Linked DNA regions of Daphnia pulex. The protein of the gene in region 1 binds, or shares a complex with, the protein of each later gene. Links are inferred from orthologs where the notes say so. Each region holds a gene or a part of one and is shown in the gene's direction. Other genes may lie near its edges.

Region 1 (4,518 bases):
CATTCTTTTACCGAAATCTCGTTATCAGCAAGTGTGTAAAGCACTAGCCCAGTCTAACGATCATGTCATTTCACTTGCAGCATCGTTCAGTCCTCAAGCAGATGCTCATCTCGTTTGTCTTCAATTGGATGATGGATCTTATCAAACTCAAGCGATTAACATCCACACACGGCCACGAAAAGGTTAGTTATTCGGTATTTTATAATATAATTAAAAGAATTACTGATTTTTTTCTTCCCTTGCGTAGTTACTGGAGCAAGTTTCTTAGTATTAAATGGTGCTTTGAAAAGCTCCAGTGGTATAAGTGGTCGCTCTTCGATTGTTGAAGATGGAGTTATGGTACAACTCCTTCCAGATATGCTCAGTAATCTAAAACAAGCACTAATTCGAATGGAGAATTACACTATCCAATGCGGGAAAATAATCGATGATCAACCGGAAGAAACGGTTACACTTAAATGGGTAGATCAAGAACCATCTCCTGTTAATCTAGGGTAATTTATCAATGCATATTGTTTGAAAATTTTGTAAATTAACAATTGCTTGTTTGATAAAGAGTTCAATCTCCTATCGATGGTCGAAGCTTCACTGGGATATCATCGATTCGAGTGATGCAGCCGCGTGACTTTAAAGGCGAGGGTCATAGACTTTTGCGTTGGACAGAACTTTTTGTTATTCAAATAGAGGACAGTGCACGCTCTTCCTCTAATAGAATTGAGGATAATGGAGACATCACACGTTTCGCTGAAACTTTGGCCAAAGCTGCATCAGTGGCTCTGGCCGCCAAACTCGCAAGCCTCGAGCCTCACACTTTGATTGGGCTACGTGTTTCTTTGGACGGAGATTCGGTAAATTAGATTATACCTTTTTCTCTTAAAATATCAAATCATCCACCATGTTCGGCTTTGTCTAGGTGGAATATCAAGCAGGAGCCGGACAAACCTCCCTGCCGAATGCATGTGTCGAGGAACTGGATTCATCGCTAATCCCAATCTTACATCGAGAATCTTCAGGTCAAGGAGTTCCCTGTATAGTGGAACTTTGGTTTCAAGTCGTTCATCCGTAAATGGCGATTTCTTTGGCTGATGCTGATGCGACAGCTGTAACCGAAATGTGATTTGGCTTTGTAATATTTGTATAACAATGAAGTAGTGGCTTTTCTTATTGCTGCTATCCAAAAATTTTGTTACTCTGTTGTTATCACAAAGGTTCTATATACTGGTTGCCATTCCCCTCTTCCTTATCTTTTGAGAGAAAACATTTTCCCTCGTCTAAATACCAATAAACTTCGGTTAGTCATCTTATCTTTCCATTTGTTCGAAAAGTTATACTTCCTAACAATTTTTGAAATTAATATTTAATGATTTTAGTCATGTTAGCGTTTCCTTAACGCGAGCGCAAATTAGAAAACAAAATCATCGCACCTAATCTCATTTTCAAGATGAAAAAACCCATTGAAATAGACATTTTATCAATTTCAAATGCAGAATATAAGATGAGTTCATACAAAGATAAGTAAAAACGAGTGCATAGATGCAGTATTATATTTTGTCTAGTTTTATTTTTATCTTAGCTGTTGCCAATCGTAATCAGCTCCGCCATCTGTTATTAAACTTTTGAATTGCGTAAAGCCAGCCAATCAGAAAGCTTAAACAATGCGAACCAATAGGCGACGCTCCTCATCCCCAAGCTTGGGCGCCATTTTTTTTCAAAAAAGGGGAAGGGTACTGACAACAAGGCTTCCCGCCTCATGGAACTCCAATGGCCGCCATTCCCTAGTAGTCGCTCAAAACATACAGCTGCGGTGTGTCCGCTTTCTGAAAACAGTGCTAAGTAATTGAAACGAAACAGTAGTGTCGTGAGATTCTGTGGATTTGTTTACAATCATCTCACCATGGTGAGGTAAAACATCACTCATTTACCCGACCCGTTGCCAACTACGATTCAATACTCAAGGTAAAACGTGAAATCTCTATCTAGCATGCCTTGTTTCCCTCCACAAGTGGTGGGGACGATTATAGCAACAAAGCAGACTTTTCGAGTTGTGCGTTTGGCCCAGTCTGGACAGAGTTTTCGCTTTCTTTTGATGCTAGTTTTCTCTTAGGACAAAGAAATTTTCGAAAAGTTGTATTGCAATTTCAGAAAAATAAGTCAAGTCTGTTGTCGACTTTCTGGCGATTTTTTTACTTAAGCAGGTATACCCTTTTTTATGTTTAAATTCTCAGGAGAGCTGAAAAGGTCTTAGTCTCGCCTGGACAAAGAGTTTTACCTCTTTTAATCCAAACCGATAGAAGAATATGGTTTCAATTGTCTTGTCTGCAGGTAGAAAAAAAAACTTTAAAAAAATCGGTGTTTGGGAGTCAAAGATAACCGAGATAAGAACAAAGCCGGTTTTTTTTCTGTGAAGTGATTCTTATTATCTTGAAATCTTTAATTCAATTTCAAAAGTTATCGTTTCCCCAATGGAAAGTAACTCTTATTCCGACAGTCCATTTCATTTCCTAATTTCTTCGAAATTGGTAAACATTTCTGAAGCAAGTTTTGGTTTCAGCATTTTGTTTCCAAAAATGGAAAGTCGGGCCTCTCTCCATTGGTCATTAGCATTTCTTCGAGACGTCTACGTTTGTTCGTCGTTTTCCATTGTCCTTCTGGCACGGGTCTTTCATTATTACCGAAAAGCACATCTATCACTTTGATCTTAATAGGGAATTCGCTTCATGTTGGTGCTGACCACCTGCCCGATAATTGTGTTAGACCTGGTTTCCCCTCCACTAGAGTGAAGGCTGATTTGTATAGGGGGGTGACAGCAGCTGCTTGATGGCTAAACACAGGCGCGCCCGTATACGGCATTGTCTTTATTTAGTTCCGGGCAAGTTGGGGGGTACCATCGACAAGCTTTAAGTTTGATTCACTGTGTAGTCCCAGCAAAAGAGGTCAAGAGAGCACAGAACAAGCGACGCCGTCTATTTTTTTATATACGAGGGGTAAATATGGACGTCGAGATGGCATCAAAATAAAAGTTGCTCTCTTATGTTGGAACACAAGGGTTTTTTGCTTGCAGAGAGAGGGGAGATTGTGTTGGAATCGAGCGAGGGGGGCTGAATTCAGAAGAGAGGGGCAGCAGCTGTAGCAGATGTTCAATGCCGGCGTGCATACAGCGTCGTAGTGGTAGACTTCCTCTTTTTCTTTCACTCATGGCCGATTATGAAAGACCTTGTGCCTGTCCCACGGTTATCGATCCGTCCCCCTGGCTTTCTCTCTTGAGAGATTCTTCGAGGTTCTAGATCGCGCCACCCACCATAGGGAAACATTCCTTTTATCAGGCAAAGAAATGTGAGATCGAATAAGAGCGACGAGGGTGAATTTGGAGACGGAAGAAAATATTCCGTCTTTGCAGTGGAGCCCAGTCGTCTACTGTTTTTTTTCTTCTTCTATTATTCCTCTACTTCGGTCTTTTTACAGTACAGAGCTAATGTATTCTGAGTCATGTCGCCGGATAATCTCCCTTGCAACCATGTGCACACAAGAGCGTGAAGAACTTTCTTTTCCATTTGCAATCCATTCATTGTCCAAAACCCTACCGTAGGAATTTGAATGGGCGAACTGGAGCCATTGTCAACGCATACCTGTACCGTAAGACGTGAAATAATAACCCAGAAAATTGTGTGATTTTTTAGACCTGCCAAGTAGACGAGATGAACGACTTTGGAATGGACGCTGATAGCAACAGTTGGGGCTCGGATTATGGCGAGGACTTTGGATCGGATATTTCAGATGGTGAATATCAGCCGAACGGCGCCGCCACTGCCTCCAGCAGCGCCCAACACCACCAAGCGAGTTCAACAGCCACCTCCCGGGTTGCTACAAAAACCAAAGGAGGTGCCCAAGCCAGAAAAATGGTGAACCGCGGGAGATGGACCAAGGACGAAGTGAGTTTGCCTCCCCCGCCCACTACCTACCCCTTCAACTTTCAGCCCCAAGTCTTGTAGAGTTAATGATTTTCTTGCCCTTTTTGTAGGATGAAAAACTTAAAGGAGTTGTGGAACGCACCGGTGAAATTTGGGAGAACGTAGCCTCCTTCTTTGAAGATCGATCGGACGTTCAATGCCAACACCGATGGACAAAAGTCGTCAATCCTCAGCTGGTTAAGGGACCTTGGACCAAAGAGGTAAAATTTGTTTATACCTTTGTTTGTGTCTTTATTTTATTTTCCTTCTTTTCTTCTTGAAAATTCCGTGACTGATTCAATGAAAGCCTTATTTCCGGTTCATGTGTCGAGCATTTCCGCTTGACGATTACCTTGCCATTAAAAGAAAGTGTCCTCTCAAGATCGTACGGCCTGATAATTACCTTGAATGTTTTATGCTGTGTTGTATGGAGCAGAAACGATGTCATCACAAAGAAAACGTGAAGAATGGAGGGAACTTGCGGCAAATAGAGAGGATGCCGGATGCCAGAGGGGGGAAAGGAGGGAGTTTGAAGAGGGGAGAGAGAGCAAAGTTTAAAACAGGAAACCAA
Region 2 (4,460 bases), on another chromosome or scaffold:
AATTCCAACCCCAACTTTGGTCATCTGATCCTAGTAAAGCTATGTATCCATGTGTCTGTGAACATGGATTTTGACAATTATTTTTAGATAAAATATTCAAATTTTAACACAATTATACCTGGAGAGTTGCTTCTTTAGTTGCAATTCCAACAACTGCAACTGTTCCAAGAGGACCTTCCCACATCACTTCCCAGGCATGCCTACCTTGACTGAATCCTGCACAAACATTAGTTGAATGGATTAATATGTACACTTGCAACAGGCATCTACAATATTTAGTACTCACCAATTTTACCTCTCACAGCATCTGTACTCTGTGCAACAGGGTTTCTGTGTATGGTAAAACCATTGGGTTTGATATAAATGTTTCTAGAGCAGTCTTCTGGGTTCCAAGCATGGTGAAATGCTTTTAATTTTGTTTTGTAGGTAGGAGCGGAAGATAGGAGGTCTGAGCTCAGGACTTCTTCTGCCAGTTTTCGTATGCAGTGCAGTCTCCAGACATCATTGTCCTCATCATTCAGTATACTGATTCAAATAATAATGTGCAAGGAGAACATAAGTTTCAAACAATCGCTGGTTTTGTTAGCAACGGTAGATCACTAGCGAATAGTCACAAACTGGTGTTGATTTCAAGAAAACTTGTACCTGTACCACCGTTTGCACACCAACGAACTGCTTCTTAAATCCTGCAGCGGCAAATATGAGAAAATATTTCCTAGTATAATATCTGGTAGTATATCCACGTGCATTCTAAACGCCGGCTCGCAAACACTTCAACATTCATTTAGGAAATTTCTTTCGATTTTTTCTGCAATTGACAATACTTCTATGGCAGAACCGGTGTTGCCACATTGCCATAGCAATTGATCTGAAATAAGAAAACCGAACAAAAATTATGAGAATCTAAACAACTTGATAAAACACTGAATTACACCTGTGAAAAAACGATATATTAATATCAAACTACTTTTTTACTAGTTTTTAAGATAAAATAATATTTTAGTTTATGTTTGAAATGGTTCCCGCGTATCCGGAAAAGCAGACGACGTTTGATTTTACTTAGCCTTCTGATTTATGATTTCATTCATATTCATGCTCGATTTCAATAAAAATTTAACGCTTTTCCCATGAAATTAATCAAATTAGCACTTAGTTATTACGATACATTTATTACGATAACTGTATTAACAGCCAAATTAAAAAAATAGACCAATTTAAAAGAGCGAAATAAAAAAAATATATTTCAGAAATTAATAAAATAAAATAACGAAATCGCTGAACACTTGCCTGCGCTTAATTAATTTCCTCTTTCTCCTTCATGTTTTAGCGCTACTTAGTATTTTACATGAATATTTGAAAAAGAGAAAAGGAGAAATTAAACGAGCAAGGAAAATCGAAAATCATTTGTTCATATTTTTGTTCTCACCCAACGACCCAAGGTCACGAGTTTGTTTGAATTTCGAATTTCTGCCCGTTGAAAGTATCGATTTTTTTTTCATTGCAAATTGCGATAGATAGAAAGCGAACTCATGGAGAAGTTAGAATTGAATTGAATCCCAGTCTCATATGACGTACATATAAGACGCTCACTCAGTAAACCCCCCGGACGAAAAAATAAAGAAAAAAAAAATATAATAAAAACTAAGCCGTTGGCCTGCTGTGCCATCATCACCCCCTCGTGCATTTTTGCCTAGCTGCCTGCTGATGCTACAGCAGTGTGTGTCTAGTGACGATCGTATAAAGTTGGCCCAGAACCTTAGGTAAACCCTATTGTCTCTTTTGTTTTGGATTGAGGGGATTTTTATTTTTTATTCATAAAGTGAATTAGATAATAAAGGAGGATACTATTTGTCATTGAGCTTGGAAAGTTTAAGTGAAGATGTCTGCAAAAATCTTAAAATAAGGGGGAAAACTTACCGGTGTGGGGTATCGACTGGTGATGGCGTTTTGGGCGCCATTTCGCTCATCGTGTTCTGAAATCATTTGGAGGAATAAATACGGGGAATTTCCATTTTAGTCTATTTAGATTCTATCATAGTTCTATATGAAATTTGATGATATCTGTAATTTGACAGGAAGTTCGAATTATAACGGCGCTCAGTTGATCATACTTTTGGTCCCACCCACCAAAGATGCTTGTTTGACAAAACATTGTCAGCACATTGGATCTTCCTTGATCTCTTCTCTTTACAGTTAAATAATATAAATAAATTTACAAGAGGTTAAGGAGATGGCACAGTCAACCCCAACTGGAAACATCACCAACATTTGGATCCAAGATGCAAATGGTATGTCAAAGTCTAGACTAAGAAATTATCTCATTCTTTTCAACAAGATAATAAAATGATGGTTGTTTGCATTCCAGGTCAGCCACAAATGATAAAAGTGGTGCATGCCACTGCTGGAAAAGGTGTTCCAGTGTCCATGGCTTCTGGAGCAGTTAGAGCTGTTCTGCGATCTAATGTAAGTCAAGGATGTGCTTGAATAAAATGTAAAAGATGTTAACAATGTTGGCTGAAAATTTGTTTAGGGAACCGTTTTGGCTGCCACACCTCAGATGTTGCAGTCACTTGGCAGAGTGACAAGAGCACCTGGACCTCGTGGACAAGTGGCAGCTGGACAGATACTAGCCATACCATTATCATCAGGAAATGGATCTACTCCGAGTAACAAAAACACTGCTGTACAGTTACCAGTAGTGCCTGTTGTGTTGAGCACTCCTCAACGCTTAAATCAGCAACAACAACAGGGCAAAAACTTCATTTCCCCAATTCTTGATCACAGTGGTTCACGAAAAAGGCAAGATCCTGACCATGAACATGGTTCTGAGAGGTAACTTTTCATTTTATTTTTCAAATGAGTAGTTTTATGAGTAAACTCATTTTTAATAGTAAACGGCGTAAGGTAGACAAAGGAGGCAAAGGATTACGTCATTTCTCGATGAAGGTGTGTGAAAAGGTTCAGAAGAAGGGTACTACAACATACAATGAGGTTGCTGATGAACTTGTAGCTGAATTCACTGATCCATCTCGTTGCACTTCACCTGCTGACCAAGTTAGTATCGTATTAGAAATTCATCTTTTTATCAGTGAAATAATGTTAATTTATTGACAGTATGACCAAAAAAATATTCGGCGTCGGGTTTACGATGCACTGAATGTGCTCATGGCCATGAACATCATATCGAAAGAGAAAAAAGAGATCAAGTGGCTTGGTTTACCTACAAATTCGTTGCAAGAATTCCAGGCACTGGAAGCGGAGAAGCAACGTCGGCTAGAAAGAATTAAGCAAAAGACGCAACAATTGCAAGAATTGGTCCTTCAGCAGATCGCCTTCAAGAGCTTGGTTGTTAATGTTTTTTCTAGTAAAACAGAAACATTTTACTGACACGTCTTGTTTACCTTTAGGTTCAAAGAAACAAGCAAAATGAGCGTCTTCACGGTGGCCCTGCCAGTAATTCTACCATACAGCTACCATTTTTGGTCGTAAATACTAGCAAGAAAACAGTGATTGACTGCTCCATATCTAGCGATAAGATGGAGTATCTCTTCACCTTTGATGATACTTTCGAAATTCATGATGATATTGAAGTCCTTAAGCGAATGGGCATGGCCCTTGGGCTTAACGAGGCCACTTGTACTGAAGAGAATCTCGCCAAGGTATTTTTGTTCTTTTATTTTTAAAGTTTATCTTAATTTTTAAATTTTTCTCGTTTTAGGCCAAGTCTTATGTTCCAAAAGCGTTGGAACATTATGTAGATCAGTTGGCTAGCGGTCAGGCCGAGCCACAGTGGCCAGAGGACGTCAATCCTGTGGTTAAGGAAACCTCAGATCACTTTGGAAATCAAGGTGTTCGAGCAGTTACACCTACAGCGTCGGTCTCAACAGGTTTCTCAGACTCCGAGGATGACGATGTGGATGACGATGAAGACAACTCCGACGTGGAAATCAATTAAAGGGTGTGGTTCTACTGATGCGTTGTCTCATTGCGTCCATTTCTACTGTCGCTTTACATGCGGCTGTCCTCGCTGATTGGATGCATTTCTCTTCGCTTGTTCTCGGTTCAGTGTTTACCCTTTCCTTAGAACCTCCTTTTCAATGTCGCCAATTTAAGCCAAGTGAGAGTATCCATCGATGATTTTCGTGGGAATCTGAACCGCGTGTGTGTGTCTATTAAGATGACGGAGTGAGCTCTTGTCGGTATAGGAGACCGCATCGACAACTGGAAACATTGAAAACTCAGGTGATGAATATTTGCAAAAGTGCCTGTCGATGTATTTTCGAGTAGAAGTGAGGTTTCATTGTCGATAACAGTTTTCTTCGTTCATTTTTGTTTACCGTCGTACAAAAACAATGTCGTTCGTTATTTTCGTCTCTTAGTGTTCATATCTTGTTCATCCATCTCGTTGACACGAGCATGTCCGGGTGCATCAATAGTCTTTGCTGGCTATAAACTATTCC

What was found. The genes of interacting proteins can lie anywhere in the genome.
Region 2: myb-related protein A-like (region 1) and transcription factor Dp-1-like share a complex: the UniProt entries of both Drosophila melanogaster proteins name them as parts of the DREAM complex. The link is inferred for Daphnia pulex from reciprocal best matches to the Drosophila melanogaster genes Myb and Dp.

Annotation. Positions count from the first base shown.
Region 1 is NC_060022.1:6,349,329-6,353,846, forward strand, and holds the start of myb-related protein A-like, read left to right. Parts: upstream 1-1,715; 5' UTR 1,716-1,956; intron 1,957-2,036; exon of another isoform or gene 2,037-2,195; intron 2,196-3,677; 5' UTR 3,678-3,695; coding exon 3,696-3,929; intron 3,930-4,018; coding exon 4,019-4,168; intron 4,169-4,518. Other genes in the region: zinc finger FYVE domain-containing protein 9-like, read left to right, coding at 1-182, 248-494, 557-848, 914-1,066. UniProt on the Drosophila melanogaster protein: DNA-binding protein that specifically recognizes the sequence 5'-YAAC[GT]G-3'. Component of the DREAM complex, a multiprotein complex that can both act as a transcription activator or repressor depending on the context.
Region 2 is NC_060023.1:5,717,387-5,721,846, forward strand, and holds the start of transcription factor Dp-1-like, read left to right. Parts: upstream 1-1,528; 5' UTR 1,529-1,760; intron 1,761-1,820; exon of another isoform or gene 1,821-2,075; 5' UTR 2,076-2,230; coding exon 2,231-2,288; intron 2,289-2,365; coding exon 2,366-2,463; intron 2,464-2,530; coding exon 2,531-2,832; intron 2,833-2,891; coding exon 2,892-3,054; intron 3,055-3,114; coding exon 3,115-3,345; intron 3,346-3,407; coding exon 3,408-3,659; intron 3,660-3,718; coding exon 3,719-3,955; 3' UTR 3,956-4,460. Other genes in the region: F-box/SPRY domain-containing protein 1-like, read right to left, coding at 1-55, 119-216, 287-525, 646-749. UniProt on the Drosophila melanogaster protein: Component of the DREAM complex, a multiprotein complex that can both act as a transcription activator or repressor depending on the context. In follicle cells, the complex plays a central role in the site-specific DNA replication at the chorion loci.